Linked DNA regions of Alligator mississippiensis. The protein of the gene in region 3 interacts with the protein of the main gene of each other region in a biochemical or structural test. Links are inferred from orthologs where the notes say so. Each region holds a gene or a part of one and is shown on either strand. Other genes may lie near its edges.

Region 1 (8,073 bases), on a different chromosome or scaffold from region 3:
ACCCCACTATGGCTTAACACATACACGTGACATGAGTTTTGTTTTCAAGAATTTGGGGTGCATTTTCCCCTGAAAACTTGTCAGGCTTCATGCTCTCAGCAGAGCCTACCACCCCTGCAAGTGTCATCCAAATCAGACAAAAAACAACAAAGTTATAGATATTTCATTGGTTCCCCATTAGAGCCTATGGCCGGATCTATGAAGCTGCTCCAAAGCTTTTCCGGAAAGCCAAACGAAGCCAGCACTTTGATCTGGACATGCTGCTTCGGATGCCAAAGTGTCCGAAGCGTCTCCGGATCTGAGGCACGGTCTGAAGCCTCGCACAGCCCTAATGTTCAGACTTATGGCCAGCCAGTATCTGGAAAAAAGAAAAGTTATTTTGCAGGCCCTATCAAGTAAAATGGCTGCTGATTTTGTTCAATTACAATTAACTCTCTTAAAAACTATGCACTTCCCCACCATGCCTTGTACTTTAGCCCCAGGCTAGAAATCCACATTGCAGACACTATCATTATGACCAAGAAGAGTTAGATAGACCTCTCTTTAGAAACTGCTGACCTCATTCACCAACTAGTCTTAGAGAGACAAAAATTGAAAGTAATGTTCTCTAATTGGTTGGGGGGAGAGAGTTATATATTTATTTCATCTTGGCTATAACCTTAACTTCCTTCATTGAGATCCACCCACTAATGTGGACCTCTGTACCATACTGAATGTACTTCCATTAAACAGTACCAGGAAAGCAGAGAGCCATGAAATGTGGTTTCCTTACACACTTTAGTTAACTTTACTTTCTAGATCACAGCTTATCTGTCTGACATTCTTAAAGGACTGTTGCCATTGCTGTAGCATCTGAGCTCCTCAGGATCTTCAGTACATTTATTTTCATAATACCTACGTGAGATAAGGAAGTGCTATCATTCCCATGTTATAGATGGAAAGGTGAAATATAGTAAAACTGAATCATGTGGCCAAAGGCACATAGGAAGTCTGTGGAGAGGCAAAGAGTTTTTCAAGTCTGACCTCCTGAGCACCAAGTGAGTACATAAAGCACTGAGCCATCCTTCCTCTTCTCATGACTTGATGAGCTATGAACAGAAACAACAATATAAATAAAAAATGCAAATGACATTCTTCGAATGGTTTGAAGAATTTGTGTTGAACTATTAGCTTTACTTGTATGAATAGTTCATATTTCATTAATCATAAGATGATATTAAGTGGATCCCAATGCACTTGATGTTGTCTATCCCCCATAATTATCTCTTGGTATAATTTGGAGGAACTACTTTGAAAACCCATAGTTTGGAGGACATTTTATCCCATCTAGATTCCCACCAAGCAATTATCGTTATGGTATCTGAGTGCCTTCAGCAAAAGATAGCCAAGTCTTTGGTTTTGACCTGGCTAGGCAAGTTTTTTGAGCTGTAACCTTGCTTTTATCTATTTCTTCTGGACCTGCATTTGGTTTAAAATAGAGTTTTAGTAAGGTTAGATATCAGGATAGTGACATAACTGGAATCCTGGCTACACGGCAGAGACTTCCTTTGATAAGTGAGGTGGAGCCTCACCAGAACAGACTAATCCCTCAAACATGCTTAGTATAGGCATACTTGAGTGAAAGGAGAGTTAATTCACCATAGCCTTCTGGCTCTTGACTTTGCTGCTACTGCCAGTGACGTTTCTTTTATCATGCTGACTTTGTGATGTCAATCCTTGTCTAGTAAGACCTGAGCTGAAGGCCCCTATACTCATTTTATTTAGACCACTGAATGAATAGCTGTAAGATCTGACAGATTTTTAGTTGCTACTGACTCATTGGGCATGTCTGCATGTGCAAATGCTGCTGGATGGGTTTACTCTGCAGTAATTTACTGCAGAGTAAACTCAGCCTGGGCAGACATCTACACATGCAGGCATTTGGGAGCAGATTTGCTCCCAATAGGAGCAGCCTCAACAGGGCTGCTCCCACCCTGCTCTGTCTCCCTGCAGCAGCCATGGGGAGCTCTAGGCTCCCTCTGGGTGCTAGTCCAGGGGCTGGCAGGGAACAAGGCCAGGAGACAGTTGTCTTCTGGGGGAAACTGGGAGATTGCTTCCTGCCTCCAGGAGCTGCCTGCTGCCAGCATGGGCTCCAATGGCAAAGCCTGAGCTAGGACAATGTCTCCCTGCCCTGGCAGCAAGGAACTCCCGGCCCCAGCATCCTGATCAGGGGCAAGGGGCTTGGAAAGAGCTGCAGGGGAGGGGTTGGGATCTACCTCTCCCCCACAGCTATTTCCAAGCCCCATGCCTTACTTGCCTGATCAGGGAATGAGGCTGGGAAAGAGCTTCAGGTCTGGGACTTGTCCCAGACCAGGACAGTTTCCAGCCAGCTCTGGACTGCATGTGGAGACTTCCCTAATAGCAATTGTGGAGCTGGAGCCAAGAACTCCCTGCTGTCAGGGGAGGGGGACATTGTCCCATCCCAAGCGTCTCTACCAGAGCCTGCCCCGGCAGCATGCAACTCCCAGGGGCAGGGAGCAATCTCCTGCCCCCTTCTGCCTGGCTTACTGGGAGCAAATTTGCTCCCACTCGGCCAGCTACATATGCCTTACTGCACAGTAACTACTCTGAAGTTAATTTACTAAGTGCTATTGCAGGTAGCAAATTAACTGCGGAGTAGAGCAAATTACTGCACAGTAAGCAACTGCGCATGTAGATGGTGATGCTTATTGCACAGTAATTTTCTCTACTGTGCAGTGAAGTGTCTCATGTAGAGGTGCCCATTGTCAGTTTGATCTGGTACACCAGAAGTCAGGGTTGTCTTATGACAATTAAATAACAATTTCTGAGCTACCAACACCCTACCACACTGTGTGCCAAGATGGAAGGTTTGACTCAATGGAAGAGACTGTCATTGAAGAAGTCCTAATATCCCTCTGAAGGGAGCTGAATTTATGCAGTGACTCACCACCCATTACTGTACATTATAAAGGAGTTAGAAGGGACTGGCAAACAGTAGCCATGTACATACAGCAGTGTATGGGTACACGTGACCAGATGTCACCTGCTTCAGAGATGACTGATTATGCACAGGTTAGGTGCGTGGGCCTAACAGAGCAGGAAAATGGTGGTAGGGACAGTATAAACAATCATTTTATGTAGAAAGCGGTCTTCCTACAGCATGAAGAGATCAGGAACTTTAGGAGTGTGGTCTATGAGAGAACATGGATTCATGTATTGGTCCTGAGTCAAAATGAAGTTACCGATTTGAATGAAATTTTTCAATTTATAGTAAATTCTCTGAAACAAGGAGTGACAGGGCAACTGAAACTAGTTATGAATTTGAATTAAATTTGACGAATAATTTCAGGTGTGTGCGGGCCGGGAGCAGTCCGAGGCTTTTGGGGGTGCGCGGTGGGCTGTGGCCAGCAGCCCTGGCACGTGGGTCGGGAAATTCGGCACGGCGGACTAGAATTAGGCACGGATGCGTAGCGGTTGATTAAAGATGATGTTACTTACACCGTAGATGGTTGCGGTGCAGGCAGGAAAAAGCTTCGCTTAAGTTGCAGTTACAAAACTCGCTCAAACAAGACCCATAGAAAACTCGAGCCTCTTAAACCCGGAAAGAGCTCTGGATACACACACACATGAAGTTTGCTAGGCTCCGTGGACCGAGCGCGCAGGGAAGGGTACGTCGAGGGATCTGGCGGCAACGGGAGAGGCTAGAGGTTGATCAGGCCCCTATATCCTTCTTAAGGCACACGCTGGGTTTGTTAGGCTCCACAGCGCTTAGAGTTCTTCACGAGATGGATGTGGAGTCCTCCTAAATGAGGTCCTCCCCGGAGATCTCCAACTTGGGCGGAAACCGCTCAAGCCTCTTATACGGCTAGCAAGCCAATCGCTAGCCGCCACGTGGGAATAATTTAGAAACAGCCAATAGTGGGACACAAATTTGCATGCGAATGGCGGGAACTACTTTGCACCGGGGTTTTCTCTATGCAACTGAGAATTGCACCGTGCAAAGAAAGCTCCCCGTGGCGGGAAATAATTCTGCAGTGCCGAAGCGCACACACAATCATACCCTTGGGTCATGACAAGGTGAAAAGGGAGTAAAGAATATTTTTAAATGTCCCAGGATTCCTTTCTACATTTTTAAATGAAATATTTCATTTTGGATATGCTGAATCATTTCATTCCAACATTTTCTAAGTGAAACTTCAGGAATGAAAATGTTTTAAATTTAGAAATTGTTCTAAAATTAAGAAAAAAATGATCAAAAGGGGTCAAAGAACCACCACGTGAAAGAGCACATTTCATTTTGAAGTGGCTGAAGTGTTTTGGGTTGTCCCAAAATGAATATTTTTAGTTTCTATGTTGAACCCCACCCCCACACCCCCAAAACAATCTGTTTCACTTTTATCTAAATCAGTATTTTTCCCAAGTTTTATGTTTGCCCACCAAAATAAAAAAAAACATTTGTCACCCAGTAATAATTGTAAGCCATTAAATGTTTTTTAGACTTATTCTTAGTTCTTAATCAGAACGAACTGCATTCCTAACAGCTGCAGTGTCTCCGGGTGGCAAGAGTTTGTTATATCTCAAAAAAAGATGACAAGAAATTAGTGACAGAAAACCTCTATTTAGTTAATGAATCAGCCCAACTCTCTTTAAAAGAAAACAGTAAAACATTAGAAGGGAAAAACTGTGGTTTGAAAAAACTCATGAACTTACAGCCTGTACAATAACAGGAATCATAGCACTCTCTCTCTACCTCTCTCTCTCACACACACATATGCAAGTACACGTGCACGTGGACACACACACTCACTCACCATATGCACATGCATATGCACATGCTTGCCTCCTGTAGGAAGGAAGAAACTTCCTGGTTTGGAGTGCCCAAGAACTTCGTGTAAAAAAGGGCTTTCAATAAGCACTAGATCCCACCTCCTCTGTAGTCTGTACCCCTCCCTCTACTGTCTCTGACACTGACTTTGAAGGAGGAGTGAGCCAATTGTCTGTGAGTCCTACAGAAAGAAAACCTGCAACTTAACAGCTACTGAGGGAGAGGGAGAGAGAGGCAGGGAGGAAGAATCAATAGAGAAATTATAAAATATAGAGAAAAGAAAAGCCCCTTCTGGATGGGAAAGAGAACACTTTAAAAGAAATCTCAGATCAGGAAAAAGAATCTATTCATTTTTTCTGTCTGGCTTTTTTTCTATTGCAGGAGTGAGAGGCGCACTTTCAAATCTGCTGTCTTAAGACATTTTCAAGCCCTCCTTTTTACTGTGAATTACTCCCCTTTATCTATTATTTTGAGGTTATGTAAAAACAGTATGGGTCGGCTCAATGTACTCACTAGCCTCAACGGCTAGATGTCGCACCCGAGGCCCCTTTCACCCCAACAAGTCTATGAATTGCAAGTTGCAAGAAAAGCAAGTGGGAGTAGGAGACAGCTTTTTTCCTTAGCGTGAACTGAGACTGTCAGGAGAAGAGCACATCTCACCAGAGGGGGAAAGCTGCTGTGGCTCTATAACCTGACTTTGGATCATGTCAGTCTTCTGATCCAGTAAATATCCTCCGGGGGACCATCCCCTGGAGCACTCCCTCCAGTCCTTCTCCCTCCAGTTAGGGTGCTAAAGTGATGCTGAAAAACTGAGCCCAGCTCAGCCACTTGGGATCTGGAGAACAGCAGCTTTTTCCAGCAGCAGCAACAGCCTCTGATAAAAAATCATCCAGACAGCTGCAGGAACTGCACTACAATTCAGGACTTTTCCTCCAAAGAAAGAAAGGTAAGGGAGTGACAGCGAACCTGACATTAATGTAGCCGGGAGACAAACACCCTACAGAAATTAATAGTGGTGTGCATGAAAATGAAAGGGAGTCCAGGACTTTTCTAACCATTGCCCGGTCTGTTATATGCAGCTTGCTTTGCTTCTTTTTAGCTAGATGCAGTAGACCATTTAGGGCTACTAAACAGAGAGAGAGAGAGGTACACTGGCTGGTTACTATGGACAGTGACACACTGGAATATGTTTAATGGATGGTCAGGAGAGGGGAATATATCCAAATCATCATTCAGGTGCTGAAAACCAAAATGTAAATGCTCTGCGGGGCAAGTTTAGATGCAGGTTTACTATCTTCATTCTGTTTCTCTGATCTGGTGCAGAAGTTCAGGTTATTCAACGCCTCACTGGAATTTAAGTTAAATCTCTGGCACTGCAGGAATGCACTTCCTGGCTTCAATTTGCAAAAAGTAGCCTAGCTCAATATTAGGGCAGGGTGATGAGAGTCAGGAGACCTGGTATTTCATCCTCACCCTGTCACTGGCTCACTCTTAGATCTCAGGAGAGTCCTTTAATCACCGCTCGCCTCAGTTTCCTCCTCTGTGTAAGGGGGGGGTAAAATTAATTATCTACCTTTGCCAAACAGTTTGAACCCTGGGCTGGAAAGGCCTATGGAAGTGCAAGTCATATATAGTGGTTTGTTATCCCTAAGTCTGTCCACAGAGTTAAAGGGACAGCTGGGAACTAATCTATTCTTAAACCTTTAATAAACTTGAAGGGAGGATGTAGATTAAAACCAGCTGGTGGTTGTTTGTTTGTTCCTCTCATTCCCTTCTGATTGATTTTATTTTATTTAGTCCATGCCCATGTGGTCCCTTTCTATTTCCCCTTTCCTGCCTTTAATCTTTCCCAATGTTGGACTCCTCTGCGTCCCCAGGGGGGCTTGAATTTAGCCTCTTTCTAAGGGTGGGAGAGGAAAATGGTTTGCTTTACTGTGGCGGTGCAAAGAGGGAGCCTGCAAGGGCAAATGCGTACTCCTGGTACTGCAGCACCCTAAAAGTCAGACTTACAATGGAGGTAATTAGAGAAATGGTGGTTACAGGCATCAAAGGGCTGAAAGACTCTACTGTGCCCCAGACAAAATGCAGGCAGGAAAGCGCGGGAGGCTCTTCAATGAGTAACCACAAGGGAACCAAAAGATTGCAGTTTAAATTAATAAAATCTGACTCTGTTAGGGAAGATCTGCCTGCAGCTACCTCTTCCTCTGACCCTAAGGGCACAGCCATGCCTCAGGCAAAGCCTTATGAATGAGATGTACCTCTCTGTGTGCACATGCAATGCAGTTTTGTCTTGCTCAGGAGGGGAGGCACTGTGGTCTAGGGATTAGAGTTAGGATGGGGGGTGAGAGAGTCAGGAGATCAGGTCTTGTACCCAGCCCTGATTTGTTTGACCTTGGAGAAGCCCTTGAACCTCTCTGTGCCTTTGTCTCCCCATCCATAAATGAGGGATGAAGGTAATACTTTCCTCTCATTCTGAAGGAGGAATTTATTTAAAAGCTTTGAAAACTTCAGTGTTATTGAAATGCAAAGGATGTTGCTGTTGTTAATTTATTCTATCTTTCATGCCCAGGGAAGGGGGGGAAATGGAGCTCCTCCTGCATGTTTGGATAGAAATAAAAAGTGGATAGTATATGAGGCATTTCCCAGTAAAATACTCTACCATGCTTTATCTAGTTTATTAACTGACCTAAACTAATAGGGTTTTCCCTGGTTCCCAAGACACAGTGCTCTGTGGATTATTAGCCTTGACAGCTAGGAATTTTTCCTTCATATTCATCCTAAAACATATACTGCATACAGCTGCATCAGAAATCCCCCTGAGTGAGCCAGACAGATAATAGATTGATTTCAGTGAAGAAAGCTGAGCTGTCTGATTTCAGGAGGGAAAGCTGATAGGAATGGGTTATCCAGTACCAGCCCTAGGCATCCACTTAGAGGAGATGCAACAACAGAAGCTGCTACCATTGCCACACATGTCACTACTGCCACCCAGGGCAGAGACCCTGGTAGTTTAGTCTCTGGGTTATCAATAAAGTGACACTTCCCAAACAGAGCTGTATTAAAAACCAGTGCATCAAAGACAAAACTGATGTGGTTTTTTTTTCCCCAACTGGATCCAAACCTAAACAATCCTCTTTCAACCAGGTCACTTGTTTGCTTTTGGCCTTTAGTTCATCTTGAAGAACAGAAGTCCGTTCTTAACTCTCCAGAAGGGTTCATATTTCCAGTGTTCAGCATCCCAATCAGGG
Region 2 (7,285 bases), on a different chromosome or scaffold from region 3:
CTTTCGAAAAGATGATTCTCCTCTCTATGTCCACCCCTGAGCACCAGGTCACACCCCAGACTCTACAGTGCTGTTCTTCCTTCCACCATGCATCATCCTGGCTGGACTCCATAGTGACAGGCATGGTAAAAACAATCTAGATCAGCAGATGGCTCTGTGTTTCCTTCCAGCCCCACTCTACCAGCTGCCGAGATCTGAAAACCACTCAGTTGTGCCAAGTGCTATATCATCTCCAGGCTGTGTTCTTTCATGCCACATGGTTCTCACCTGCTTCAAATCTCCCTCCCCTGCCATCCCCAGGCAATGTATCTAGGCCCAGTGCCCAGATGTGCCAGCCACCTTTGTATCATGGCTCCCTTGTTATCAGTAACTGCAATATTCTACCCTTCCAATACCAAATTCCTTTGCACTCTCCTGAGCACCCACCTGCAACAACCCCCATTGGAATATCCCAGCATTGTTTACCAAGTCAGCTTCTCCTCAGTCCTCAAAGCCCACCACAGTCTTATGGTACAAGAACTGCACAGTCCCTAACTCCTGCCCCCAAAATTCTGGTCAGCCTACATTAAGGTTGTTCCTAGGCACTGTCACCTGCAGCAAACACCACAGAAGGTTAACTCAGGTGCAACTAGGAAATTTTGTGCCCTGGGCAACATAAATCTTGCACCCCTTCTAAGATAGCACCTGGGGCTGGTGCCCTGCTCACCCACCCCTAGTAAGGTTACTGGGTTAATTATTAACCTATTTGCCTGATCTCTTGCTGTCCATCACCCTGGACTTCAATCTATCTCCCAGTCACCACCTATCCAATGCAAAAAGCATCCTTAAAGACTTACAAGCCAAGCACCTTAATAACTTGCTTGCCCTACGAAGTCTTCTTACATCTCAGAATGGTCCCTACTGTGAAAATTGCTTTGCTTTTAAAGAACATCTTGCATTCCCCTCTCTCCTCTGTGAAACATCCTTTCACTCCCCTCCACTATGAAAACACCAGTTTCTTAACACCTTTCTACCATTACCTTTTTCTGCATATTGGTGCCCCTTCCCAGTTTATGCTGGAAGACTCTAGGAGTAAACAGAAGTGCAGCTCCCCAGTCTAACTCATGGCACTTCACAGAAAGCACCAAGAGTTAGACTGATCCTCCCAACCCAACAGATGTTAGCTGCTGAGCCAGGAGGGTGGGGGATCGAGCTCCAATTTGGAGCTGATCCAGCAAGAGAGACTGTCTCTGCAGCCTCTTCTCCTAGCCCCACCCTCCCTCTCCCTGCCCTGGTGCTGTCTCAGGATGGGAGTGGGGAGAAGGGAGGGGAGGGATCTTGGGCTGCTGTTTGCCCAGCCTGTGCTAGAGTAGGGATGGATAGGAAACTCCAATCCAAGGTTCCCTCCCATCCTTTCTCCCCCACTCCCATCCTGAGACAGTGCTGGGGGCGGGGTTGGGCTGCAGCAGCCCAGCTGCCAGAGCAGACACAAGTTAACGAAGGCACTCCATTTTGGAGCACCTTCATTTGAACCCTCATATAATGAAGGATAATTTATTGTGCAATGGGAGCACTGTGAAGCTGTGCTCTTCTATTAGGTTATGGCTGTAGAGTGCTTTCTAGGATCTGTGGCCCACATGGGTCAGATTTCCAAAACGCTCAGTGTCAGTTTTTCCAGCATGCAGCACCCATGGGTGGGGCCAGATTTTCCAAAGAGTTCTCCTATTTAAGTACCTATATAACAACCACATTTTCAAAGGTGCTCAGCATCCAGCAGTACCCACTGGGACACAGAGGAGCAGATTTTCAAACAGGCCATCAATGTTCAGGTTAAGTTTGGCCATTTTTCCCTTTATCTTGCAAATCAAGGGCAGTGACACTTCCACTCAGTTCAGCACTGGTGAGGCTTCACCTGGAGTACTCTGTCCATTTTGGGGCCTCACACTTCAAAAATGTGGACAGTTGGAAAAAATCCAGCATAGAGCAACAAAATTATTGGCAGCCTATGAGAAAAGGCTAAAAGAATTAATGGTATTTAGTTTAGAGAAGAGAAGACTGCAGGGGGATTTGATAACAGTCCTCAAATACGTAATGAGCAATTACAGAGAGGACAGAGATGGGCTTTTCTCTGTGGCCATAGGGAACAGAACTAGTTTAGGTTGAAGATTAGGAAGAACTTTCTGACTATGAGGGTGGTCAAGCATTGGAACAGGCCACCGAGAGAAATTGTGGAATCTCCATCCTTGGAAATTTTCAAGAGCAGGTTGGACAGACACTTGGCTGGGATGGTTCAGTCAGGGACAATCCTGCCTTGAGCAGGGAGCTGGACTAGATGACCTTGTGAGCTCCCTTCTAGCCCTACTTTCCTATAAGCTCTTTGAGCAGCTCCCTTATAGCCAGTTTCAGTTCTTTCCATCCCAGAACAGATCTAGACTAGTTTCTAATAAACCTTCCAGCAATACTGCAACATGCAACCGGGTCCTGATTTTAGAACTGGATTGGCAAAACATCCCAGGCCCAAGTGTTTGCTGGCACATATGACAGGCACACGCTCCTGAAGCAACAGGATAGACATTTGCAACGACCTATGATTTTGCTCTTTTAATATATACAGGGAGCCCCTGTTCCTTCATCCCCATGATCTAGTGTTTCTCACTGCAATTATCTAAGCAGCAAAGTAAGCAGTACACTAGATTTAGGGCCAGCAATTTCCCAACTAGACAGAAAGACTTTGAGGCAGTGAAGGCACCATGACCTTTTCTGGGGCTCCATTTACCCTCCAGAGAATTAAGATCAGGGCACATGGGGGTGCTGCAATACGAGAGGGCTTCCCTGGAAGGGAGGGAAATTGGAGCATGACTCTGTTGGGGCCCCCAGCCCATGCAGGCTGCAGGGTCTGGACCACAGATGGGCAAAATATGGCCTATGGGTCAGATCTGGCCCACCACCTGACTGAATCTGGCCCACAGCTGCCCCTGCAATGTTCCATATGGGGCTGAGCCCTGCTGGCTCCTGCTGGGGCAGCCTACACTGCGTTTCCACCTGCGCCTGCTGGTCCAGGCCCTGACTAGTGTGCTCAGCTTCTGGCATGAATGACACGTGCCCCCGGCAGCTGGGGGGGCATGGCTGCACTGGCAGCGGCAGGAGCGCTGCAGCAGCAGCAGCAGGAGCACAGTGGTGGTAAGAGCAGAGCTCACACAGATGCCACCAGTGCTGTTGGCGGTGGACAGGGAGCGCCGACCAGGGATCGGCAACCAGCTGCAGGCACTGCTGGCAGTGGTGGCAGTGGCCAGCAGCAATCGTAGACCCCCCACAGATGCCACCGGCAGTGTCAGTGGCAGGGTGGCGAGCAGCGATTGATGGTGCCTTTTTCTAGGGGGTGCACTACCACGCTGAGGGGGTGCCCGTGTAGCCACATGCATGCCCTATGCGTCACCCCTGGCTTCTGGGAAGGCTGTTCCCAGTGCTGCTCTGCTCCCCTCATCTCTAGCAGGAGCCACCTTGCTGAAGGTTCCTGCCAGCCCACCCAGAGTAGCGCAGCCAGGGCAAAAGCGGAGAAGCTGCTGCTGGCAGCAAGGGAAGCAGAGCAGCACCCAGTCAGCTGCGGCCACCTGGGTGTTGCTCTGATCCCCTCCCCTCCAGTGGGAGTTCCTCTTCTTGCTTCTTCCCCTGCCTTGCCCTCTGGGCAGGTGGGAGGGAAGCTTCAACAGGGCAGTTCCTGCTGGAGGTGAAGGGAGCAAAGCAGCACCCCATTGCCTGCAGCAGAACAGACCAGCTAGAAGCTGCACATTGGCTAGGGCTAGGCTGACGAGCACAGGTGGGAGCGTGGCATTGGCTCAGCCCAGGGCAGGGCTTGGTCCCATGTGGAGCGCTACAAGTGGGGGGGCAGCCTCCCTCTCCTCACCCCAGGCTAGCTCCCAGGTCCTAGAGCTCAGGCAGCATCCCCCCATATACTTGACCCCCCATATATATCTGGACCAAGGTGCTCTGGCGCCCGGCTCACGGCCACGAGACGGGGCAGCCAGGAGCCCCCGCCAGGCTCTTTGGCACTACCACGTGGCTTTGCCCCAGGCGAGACTACAATTCCCAGCGGGCCCTGCGCGTGGCGTGGCGCCGGCCAATAGAAGAAGACGTTCCTTCGCGGAGCGACACCTTCTGGGAGTGGTAGTCCGGGGGCGTGGAGGAACGGGCGGGAGAACTGCCAGTCCCAGCATGCCGCGGACCTGCGGGAGCCAATGAGAAGCGAATATGTTGGGGCTGCGCATGCGCGCCATCTCAGGTGGTTGGCGATTCATGTGGAGGTCAGAGTCGCGGCTGGAGGTGAGCAGGCGGCGTGCCGCGGCCTGCGGGGGGACGAGCCTGGGCGGGAAAGTGTGCCCGGCCCGGGGGGCGGGAGTCCCGCTGGGGGGACTGGGGAAGAGGGTGCAGCCCGGGGGTGGCCGGGGAGGTGGAGGGAGTGGTGTTGAGGAAGAGGCTCCTCGTGAGGCGGAGCGTGAGGGCTGGTTCTCCTCGTTTTGCTCAGACCTGCCCCTGGTCATGGGGATCCAGGGGGCTGTGGTTTGGGGCAGGCAGGAAGGCCCCGGGGCACTTAATCCATCTCCGAGGCAGCTGTTCTCGCTTCTTTTTAGACATGGGGCAGCTCTGGATGGACACAAGGCCCTCTTGGAAAGTGCCAGCTCTGTTTTCACTTTTTTTGTTTCAGTCACTAGAAAAATAGATCTCTTGAGTTTATCTTGTGAAACACATTTGTCTTAACCTAACAGCGCTCGCATTGTGTGGCACCCCACAGCCCCCTCGCACGGAGCTCGAGGAACCCCTGGGGGCTGTGGTCTCTTGGTTGAGAATTGCTCTAACAATGTTGCTGGGTTTTTGCAGGTGTGAGTCTTCAGAGACGGGCATTGGATTGACAGATGGCTGCCTCCAAGCTGTTTGAGACTGTGGGGAAAATTGGCCTGGGGTTGGCCATTACAGGAGGAATTCTCAACTCTGCTCTCTATAACGGTGAGCAGAAGAGGCAGAGCTTTTCCTTTTCTGCTGACATGTTCAACTTCACAAAGTCAGGTGTAAAGTTAGAGGGAAGTAAACACATCAGGGGGCTTTGCTGATTCCAAAGTGTGTTGGAAATAGCTCTGTGCTGAAATAATTTCTGTTTCCTTAAAATAAATGCAACCAAGGTGTTTGTGAAAAGGGTACGGTTAGGCTAGTTCTTATGATACTTTAAGGACTGGGAGATCCAATGGGTTGGTTTTCTTGCCCTTGATCTTAATTTTCTCTGCCCCTTAGCACCTCTTACACTAGGGCTTGAACTTTTATCCTTGACCCCTTTGCTGATTTGCTTGTTTGCTTTGATTCAGGTTGTCAAACTCATCTGACCTGTGGGCTGGATGAGGGGCACGGGACTGGTCTGCAGGCCAGATCAGACCTATGGACCCCCTCCCCCAGCATACCTAATGTGCAGCTGTTCCAGCTGGTCTGGAACATATACCACATGCAGTGCAGATCCTAGAGTGGTCAGAATGGGAGCTGTGTGCAGCACAGTCTGTCTGGAGCTGCAGCAGTGCTGCATGCAGTGGCCACCCTAGCCAGACTGCACCACACTTGGCATCTGCTCTGGCAGTTCCGTGACTGCCCTGTACATGGCACCTGCTCCAGCCAGTCTGGGACCTGTGTTGTATGCGGTGCCTGCAAGCTCCACATGCAGCACAGATCCTAGACCGGCTGGAGTTAGCATCGTGTGTGCCCTGCATCGCAGAATGGCACCATGTGGTACAGTCTAGCCTGATCAGCCACCTCAAGCAGGCTGGCTGCTGCTTCAGATGGACTGTGTCTCACACAGCATCTGTTCTGGCTACTCTGGGATCCATGTCACAGGCAGCACAGTTCCCAGACTGGCTAGAGCAACTGCCAGATCAGGTATGCTGGGAGGGGGAGAAGAGGAGGGGGTCCATGGGCCTGATCAAGCTGGTTAACTGGCCCTGTGCCATGATGTGCCTTGTGTAGGTCTGATCAGACTGGGGGACAGCACTGGTGTCCAGGTGGTGGACTTTGCAAGCCAGGTGTGTTTGACACTACTGTTTTAAGGCAAGCCATTCATTAGCCCCCTGAGGGAAAGACAGCGTAAGCAATATTGCTAAGTTTTTGGTATGCTCTTTGGAAAATATACTTTGAATGCATGCTCCCAAAATGATAGGTTGCTGTCATTAAGCTGTGCGTGTTATGCTCTTTTTTTCTAGTTGATGCGGGCCACAGAGCTGTTATTTTTGACAGACTCCAAGGCGTTCAAGATGTGGTAGTAGGGGAAGGCACACACTTTCTCATTCCCTGGGTACAGAAACCAATTATTTTCGACTGTCGTTCTCGCCCGCGTAATGTTCCTGTCATCACTGGCAGCAAAGGTAAGTGTAGTCTCATAGCTGCCAGTGGACCAGAGCAACATTGATGTCATTCGCCATGGTCTCTGAGTGCCTTTATTAATTAGAATACAATCCAGCAAAAATATTGAGATCTTTGTCCTCCCTCTGAAGGTAATGGGAAGAAAAAAAATTCTTAGGCCCCTGTCAAGATAGTGCTTTAAGGAAACAGGACCCCTGTAATTAAAAAGTTACAGCCACGTAAAATGGTAGTTCATTGGAATACCTCTGATCACAAGTTCTTGAGTGTTTTGTTGCTGTTGGATTTCTTAGTAAAGTCAGCTAACAGATGGGGAAGAAAATGGCAGGCCTTGATTTTGCATGGTCTATTTCTTTACCAAAACCCATCAGATTGGAGCATTGTATTATCTCTTTGGGGACCCCCAAACGCTTGAGATCGATCCAGCATGTGCCATGAAATGGACTGTGCTATTCTATAACTAGTCTGATCTGTAATAAGGGAGCTTGCTTCAGTTTGATCAGCCATCCCTTAAAAACAGTTTCTCTATTTGCATGAAAAGATGAATAATTCCCCATCCCACATGGAAGAAAGCACTTAAATTATGTTTCTGGGGGATCATATCCCTTGGTGAAAGGGGGACAGTAAAAAAACCAAACTGGCAGGAGTGAAGCTTGCCACTGAATATGCCAGGTGGCAAAACTCTGAATCTGCTTGTCCCTCTTTAGCTACTAGGGAGAGAGTTATCTCTGGATATCTCTTGTCCCTCTGCTTTGCCTCTAAGTTACAAATCTGTCTCTGCAGACCTGCAGAACGTGAACATTACTTTGAGAATCTTGTTCAGACCAGTTGCCAACCAGTTACCTCGGATTTTCACAAGCATCGGGGAGGACTATGATGAACGTGTACTGCCCTCCATCACTACTGAGATCCTGAA
Region 3 (7,702 bases):
GTGCTGCCCAGCCGGAGTGGGGTGGGGGACGGAGTCGTGACAGACTCATCCGGGGAGCGAGGGTTGGGGAATTGAGCTGCTACAGGCACCCCTGGAGGAGCCATGGGGGGCACGTGCCCCCCCCCCCCCGTGCGTGGGGGTAAGGGCAGGCTGCTGCGGTGGGCTGGGGCCAGCATCAGACTCTTCCTGGGGATGGGTTGCCCCCCCCCCCCAACTTTTCCCTCCCCAACAGACTTATCAGCAAGATGCTACTCTGCACGCTTCCTGTGGCAAGGCACTGTTGGTGCCTGCCACTTTAAAGGCTAAGCCAAACAGCCAGCAGGTGCTTGATTTCAGCAGCCATTTTGAGACACTGGCTGCTTATATAAACTGAGCAGATTGCTGCTGGCAGCCCAGGCAGAAATGTTGCTTGGCTGAGCTGCTGTATGAGAATATCTGCAGAAGGCTCTTGGTCCTGGCCATGACCTAAAACTGCACCCTGCTGAGAATGAGTGGCCTGGTGGGGCTCCCAGCAGTGTGGGAGCCTCCACAAAAATACCAGACCAGATACCACCCCAGTAGAAAGTAGGCTGGGGTGCCTCAATAACTCTAGCCCCCACATCACTGTGGGTAGCAGCTGGGGCCATGCATGGCTATAGCCACCTGAGCTCCCACCAAGGAGGGAAGCCCCAGTGAGGGGGTAGAAGATGTGGAGCCCGGTGTGTGTGATGTCTGCCACCCAAGGTGTGTGCTAGATAAAACCTATGGCCAAATGCACCCGCTCTAAAAGGGAGCAAGGCAGTATAAGTTCTTGATGCGTGAAAGAGACCCTGACAGGGGGTGGAGCATGAAAGGCCCTAAGTGAGATGAGGTATGGGCGCATGTATGAGGCCTGACAATGAGGGCTAAGCTTGGTCTGGCTGTAGACTGGGAGTATGTCACCTGGATGCCATCTGCAAGGTTTGGGCTGCAGTGTAGGGAAGGATCAGAGCTGCAGAGAGCACTCCCTGGCATCAGGGCAAGAATGGGCAGCTTTCCACCTGATAAGAACCAATTATAAAACAACAAGGCATGGCAGGAAAGTGTGGCAGGTGGTTAGCCCCAAACAGGTGGGCAGACTGATGGGGGACCGGGCCAGAGAGAGCCCTTTGTTACACTGCCGAGCTGGCTGAGCGCGTGCTGCAGCTGCGCATATGCACATGGCATTTATCAGTGACATTATCTGCCATATCAGCCCCCCCAAAAAATTGGCAATAATGTCAATTTTACCTCTTATTGGTGCCAATACAATATGGATTGATGCATCAGCGCACCACTATTTTTAAGCACCAGGACATTAATGCATGTGATGCTGGAACATGCCAAAAAAAATTGTGTCAGTACGTCAAAATGTGTTGCATCTTAAAGTGAATCAGTTATCGGAGCGGCCGACACAGTTGGTTAATAATAGACTACCAGTATCAGCCAAGAAAACCTTTATCAGTGCGCCACTACGGCATATGTAGACTTTAAGATAGAATGCCATAGTTTCTAAATTTAAACTCAACAGGCTCATTTTTCAAAAGAGAAAAAAAAAGCATATAATAAATAGATAAATAAAAGGTGGATAAAAAGGAATGCGTTTTTAGGTGGAAAAAAACAGTGCACATTTTCTTCCCAGTACTTTCAGCATTTCCTCTTTCAGTTGGGTCAATTACTTCTCCTGCACAATAAAGTGTCTAGTGCTGAAGACATCAACTGCATGAATTGTGTACTTCAGATGTAGCCAGCATCACTGTCCCAATTTGAGCAAGACATGACAACAGTCTTAGCTATTCCATGTAACCACCACAAACTGTACAACAGTTCAGGTTTGTTCATGAAACAGTTGAAGAATTTACAAATGTGTCAGTTTAAGGACAAACAGTATCTTCTATGGCCTGCTTACACAAAGACACTGAATTTGTTAAGATAAACTACATTCACTTCAGTTCTGAAGGAGAGGTAGAGACTTAACCAACATAACCAAGCAACTTGAAAAGTCATACCAATAATTAATTCGTATATACTTTTTTCTGCCATCAAGCCCTAAGTGAGCATATTTATCTCTCTAGCAATTATTCAACTGGTATCTGTTCAGTTCTATGAATCCATTAGACATTTGCAGGCTTTCCAAAATAAAGGAATTAAAATAGCCTTTTACAAAGGTTCTCTCAAGACATTTTTTAGCCATCAGACCATGCAAGGAGGAGAGCAAAGTACATTCTTCTTCTCTGCACGCTTCTGAGTGCCTCCAAGACACACGCTCGGGCAACTTGAACTGGGGGACCCTTACACTGTTTGGGTACTGCTCAAAAGCTACTGAGGAAGAAGGTGGGACCAGGCAGGAGTCCCTGAGAACTTGATGGGCGACAGACGTTAGGCAAGAGAATGCTTTAACTCAGTGGTTCTCAACCTTGTTTGTATGAGGACTCATTTGTAAACATCATGGCCAGTCACCACCCAGTAAATGGTTCAAGTAGCGAGCCCCCTGCCAGCCTGCAAGGAGATAGCTGCGGTTTCCCACATTTTTCTCCTTTAAACGAAGAAGATCTGTGATTTTCTATGTTCTTCCATGATTATTTGCGACCCTTTCATGTATTCCTGCGACCCACTTTTGGGTTGCAACCCTTGCGAAACGCTGCTTTAACTAGAGGCATATCAAACTTGTGGACAGCGGGCCCTTGAGTCGGCAGGGCTCTGCGCAACGGCACGACCCACGGTCCTGCTCCACAGACAGCCTCGCTCCGTGGCGCAGAGCTAAGCTGACGGCAAGAGCCCGGCCAAGGACAACGGGCCGGCCAAGCCGAGGCGAGCCGAGCCGAGCCGCCGGCTTCAGCGAGAGGCAACCACGCTAGCGAGACGCTCCAGACAGAGGCGCCCGGCCCCGCGGCTAGGCGAGGTCCGGCCCGCTGCCGTCCCCACCCGAGCCGGGCCCCCTCCCGCCCCGCGGCCGTGCCCGGCAGGGACCCGCCGCCAGGGGCTCCGGCCGCGCCCCGCGCGCATACGCACACGCACCTCCGGGGGCTCCGGCCAGCGGGGGCTGGGGGATCCCGCCAGCCGGGGGCAGGGAGCTCCCCACCCCCGGCCGCGCTCACTGCCCCCGGCCGCAGCCGCCGCCGCCGCCGCTCCTCCGCCCGCTCCTCACTCGGCGCCCGCCCCGGTCTCCATCTAAAATGGCGACCTCAATCCGAGCCAGACATTTATCGGGGCCCATCGATGCGCTCCGCGCTCCGCAGGGCTCCTCTCCCCCTCCCCCCGCGGAACGCCGAGCCATCGATGGCGCGCACCCGCCAGCCCTGCCCAGTTGCGCGGCCGCCTTTCGGGAGCTGGGCAGGCGCGGGACTGGAGCCGGCGGGGGTTTGGGCACCTCCGCCCCGGGGACCTCCCCACTTCCCTTCCAGTCATCCTTCACCCCCAGGCTAGAGGAGGGAGGAGTGAAGGCAGCGCCGAGCTCAGGGCGCCCCGCAGGGTCCCGTGCTACCCGGCAGGGGCGCCCGTCCGTGGCCGCACCCCCTCGCGTCTCTCCTGGATCCACCCTGGGGAAGGAGCAGTGGGTTGTATCCACCTCTGCAGCATCTGCCACCCCACTTCTCAAAATCCTAGCTGTGCCTATGGGTGGGGCAACCTCTACTAAGTTAATTGGTAGCTGGTTGACGCTAGGGTATCTGGGAGATTTTTTTCCCCGGACTCATTTTGGGCACATCTACGCCTGAAGCTTACAGCAATACAAGCTAAAGCGTGTTTAAATTCTGCTTGCACGTCTGTGTGTGAACTCGTTTCTGTCAGCATAAGGCCTTTTCTTAGTTTAGCTCACATCGGTTTGGAAAAGGTTTAAATCAGACCAAAAAAGGATCTCTTGCTGGAACAAAATTGTCCATCCAGTGTTATAGTGTACCTGAATAACTGGCAAAGCTTTCACATTTAGACAAGTACAATTCTCCCTTTACAATTGCCACAGTCCTAGTTCTATAAAAGAAAAGACAAACTACAAATTAAACCAATGTGGTGTCACCAGCTGCAAGATGCTGACAAACACACGGAAAATTTGGCAGTCAGATATGCACAGTCAGCTTCCCTAAGCCCTTGTGACTTGTAGATGTGCATTTGAAGCCAAAACTGAGGCCATTAGGTGTAAACACACAATTTTACCAAAAGTTACATTTAATAGACCTGAAGAACAGTTCACATTTATAAACAACATCATTATAAACAACAACAAAAACTGATATTTATAAATGTGAGTTGTACTCCAAAGTTTTTAATCAGTATTTTTTGTTAAAATGCTGTTTTTAAACCAAATGGGTCCAGTTCTGGATTCAGATCCATGTATACAAGCCATATGGCCTTAAGAGGAGCTATACGCACATATCTGACTGTAAAATGCGGCCCAGAGAAACAAACATTATATAATGAATGCTTAAACAACTTAAAACTAGGTATGTCTGTATAACACTAGCTGCAATTCTGTCTGTGAGGAAGGTTTTGCCAGAGTATATACAGTTCACTTTAAATAAGGAAATGTAAAATGCAAGTAAAATTATGACAACATGGAAAAAAAAAAAAGAAGAAAGGGTAAGTGATTTCAGGGAAGGAGAATACTATTGGTGTCAGACTGCTAATTCATTTTTAAATTTCCAACAAAGAGAAGATTAAAGCTATGAAAGTGAGATGAAACCATAGTGATTGAACAAATTAATAGAGTTAGGGAAGAAAGTAAATCAAATTTTAGGCTGCTAAACAGTGAAATAATACTGTAAAGAAATAGAGCCTTTTCAAGACATAAGAAACAAGGAACAAGGAAATAGAACAAAGTAACTTTCTGAGATAAATCAATCCAGAATGAATGCTAGTAACTTCTAGTTTATTTCATGTTCGTGTTTGCTTGGGTTTACAGTACAATACAGAATTTCTCATCTGATACGTGCATAACTCATACTGTTATTAGTTCAGATATATGTCAAGATTGTGTGATGTCTGTCTGAAACATTCTGTGCTGCTATGAGAAACAGTGTGGTCAGTAATTAGAATGAAACTAAGGGTAGCTGGGTTATTCCTGTCTCTGCCACTGATCTGTTAAGTAATCCTGGGCAAGTCACTTCATCTTTTGGTATGTCAGCTTCCCCATCTGTTAAAAGGGAATAAGATATACTGACCACTTTCATAAAATGCTTTGAGATCTATTGTCTATAAGAGCTTGGTATTATACTTCTCCATGCCTCAGTTCATTTGATTAGCATTGCAAGACTTAGTTTGTAAATTGCTTTGAGCTCCCCACATGGAAAGTATTACTTGCAAAACATTGTTCTTAACAAATTATGTAACTTTTATTTATAATTTTTCTACATAAAATCAATTAACAGGCCTAAGAATGAACAAGGAATACATAAGGCAAAAACAAAAGGTACCACTAGTAACAAATATTAAACATGCATTATCTGCTATTTAGCTGTGCTGTCTGCTTTTTTCTTAGAGACCTGAGGAATGGTACATAGTACCCAAAAGCTTGTCTGTGTCCCTCCTGACTACATAGTTAGTCCAATGAAAGATACTACCCACAAAGACCTTTGCCTCTCACAAAGCTTCCATGAAACTTAGTACTTAAGTCAAAATTATCTTACTACTTAGTTTAAAAATAGATTACCTTTACAGAGGTGTGCCTCACCTCTGCCATGTTTAATATACAGTATCTGTGAAACTAGGTACAAAAAACTCCAAGGTAAAGAGGGTTGCAAGGACAACTTGAACAAATCAAAATATTAAAACCAAGCAGCTATTCAAGAGAACTATTACTGAATAAGAAAAATTGCACTAGCATGGCTATTTGTACCCTTTTTATATTCTTTTTGTATTAACAAATCCAAAGGGGGGCATCTAAAAGGTGGAAATGGGGAGAGATTACTAAACAGGAGCATACCTCCTCTGCTCGCGCTTGTAGGGAGGCAGTTAGACAGGCCAAAGCTACCATGGAGCTGAGGATGGCATCCCAAGTTAAGGATAACAAAAAATTGTTCTTTAGATATATAGGGAGTAAAAGGAAGGCCCAGGGTGGAATAGGACCTCTACTAAATGGGCATAAGCAATTAATGATGGACAGGGGGGACAAGGCTGAACTCCTCAATGAGTTCTTTGCCTCAGTGTTCCTAAGCGAGGGGCAAGACAAGGCTCTCACTGGGATTGTAGAGAGGCAGCAGCAGGATGCCAGACTACCAAGCATAGACCCTGAGATGGTGCAGAGGCACTTGGAGGAACTGGATGCGTTCAAGTCGTCAGGGCCCGATAAGCTCCATCCGAGGGTACTGAAGGCAGTGGCTGACATCATTGCGCAGCCACTGGCGGGAATATTTGAACACTCGTGGCGCACGGGCCAGGTTCCAGAGGACTGGAAAAGGGCCAATGTGGTCCCCATTTTCAAGAAGGGGAGGAATGAGGACCCAGGCAACTATAGGCCAGTCAATCTCACCTCCATCCTAGGCAAAGTCTTTGAAAAAATTATCAAGGCTCACATTTGCAAGAGCCCGGCAGGAAAAATTATGCTGAGGGGAAACCAGCATGGGTTCGTAGCAGGTAGATCATGCCTGACTAATCTAGTCTCGTTTTATGACCAGGTTACAAAACACCTGGATGCAGGAGTAGGGGTTGACATCGTTTACTTAGACTTCAGGAAGGCCTTCGATACGGTATCCCACCCCATACTGGTGAACAAGTTAAGAGGCTGTGACTTGGATGACTACACAGTCCGGTGGGTGGCGAATTGGCTAGAGGGTCATACCCAGAGAGTCATAGTGGATGGGTTGGTATCGACCTGGAAGGGTGTGGGCAGTGGGGTCCCGCAGGGCTCGGTTCTTGGACCGATACTCTTCAACGTCTTCATCAGCGACTTGGACGAGGGAGTGAAATGTACTCTGTCCAAGTTTGCAGATGACACAAAACTGTGGGGGGAAGTGGACACGCTGGAGGGCAGGGAATAGCTACAAGCAGACCTGGACAGGTTGGACATATGGGCGGAAAACAACAGAATGCAATTCAACAAGGAGAAATGCAAAGTGCTGCACCTAGGGAGGAGAAATGTCCAGCATACCTACTGCCTAGGAAATGACCTGCTTGGAGGCACGGAAGCGGAAAGGGATCTTGGGGTCCTAGTGGATTCCAAGATGAACATGAGTCGTCAGTGTGACGAAGTCATCAGGAAAGCTAATGGCACTTTATCGTGTATCAGCAGATGCATGACGAACAGAACCAAGGAAGTGATACTTCCCCTCTATCGGGCTCTGGTCAGACCGCAGTTGGAATACTGCGTGCAGTTTTGGGCGCCGCGCTTCAGGAGGGATGTGGATAACCTGGAGAGGGTCCAGAGAAGGGCCACTCGTATGGTTAAGGGCTTGCAGGCCAAGCCCTATGAGGAGAGACGAGGGCACCTGGGCTCCTTCAGCCTCCGCAAGAGAAGGTTGAGAGGCGACCTTGTGGCTGCCTATAAGTTCATCATGGGGGCACAGAAGGGAATTGGTGAGGCTTTATCTTTTATTATTCCCAGTTATGTGCAACATCTTTACAATCAAATACTGTAGATAGATCTTAGGCTTTCACTATTTTATTAAATAGAGTGTAACTGTTTAGATACAACATAGAGGAGGGCAGTTTATTTTCCTAAGGATCCTACAATCTAAAAATCAGCCATTGAAATGCATGGGTTGTTCTAACATGC

Evidence for each region.
Region 1: the proteins of RAF1 (region 3) and RASD2 form a complex in vitro, tested with the Homo sapiens proteins (2 studies listed by BioGRID). The link is inferred for Alligator mississippiensis from reciprocal best matches to the Homo sapiens genes RAF1 and RASD2.
Region 2: the proteins of RAF1 (region 3) and PHB1 form a complex in vitro, tested with the Homo sapiens proteins (2 studies listed by BioGRID). The link is inferred for Alligator mississippiensis from reciprocal best matches to the Homo sapiens genes RAF1 and PHB1.

Annotation. Positions count from the first base shown.
Region 1 is NC_081827.1:101,485,004-101,493,076, reverse strand, and holds the start of RASD2 (GTP-binding protein Rhes), read left to right. Parts: upstream 1-4,992; 5' UTR 4,993-5,771; intron 5,772-8,073. UniProt on the Homo sapiens protein: GTPase signaling protein that binds to and hydrolyzes GTP. Regulates signaling pathways involving G-proteins-coupled receptor and heterotrimeric proteins such as GNB1, GNB2 and GNB3.
Region 2 is NC_081827.1:168,772,571-168,779,855, reverse strand, and holds the start of PHB1 (prohibitin 1), read left to right. Parts: upstream 1-4,204; 5' UTR 4,205-4,299; intron 4,300-4,854; 5' UTR 4,855-4,889; coding exon 4,890-4,980; intron 4,981-6,212; coding exon 6,213-6,374; intron 6,375-7,152; coding exon 7,153-7,285.
Region 3 is NC_081835.1:30,640,107-30,647,808, reverse strand, and holds the start of RAF1 (RAF proto-oncogene serine/threonine-protein kinase), read right to left. Parts: upstream 3,171-7,702; 5' UTR 3,016-3,170; intron 1-3,015. UniProt on the Homo sapiens protein: Serine/threonine-protein kinase that acts as a regulatory link between the membrane-associated Ras GTPases and the MAPK/ERK cascade, and this critical regulatory link functions as a switch determining cell fate decisions including proliferation, differentiation, apoptosis, survival and oncogenic transformation.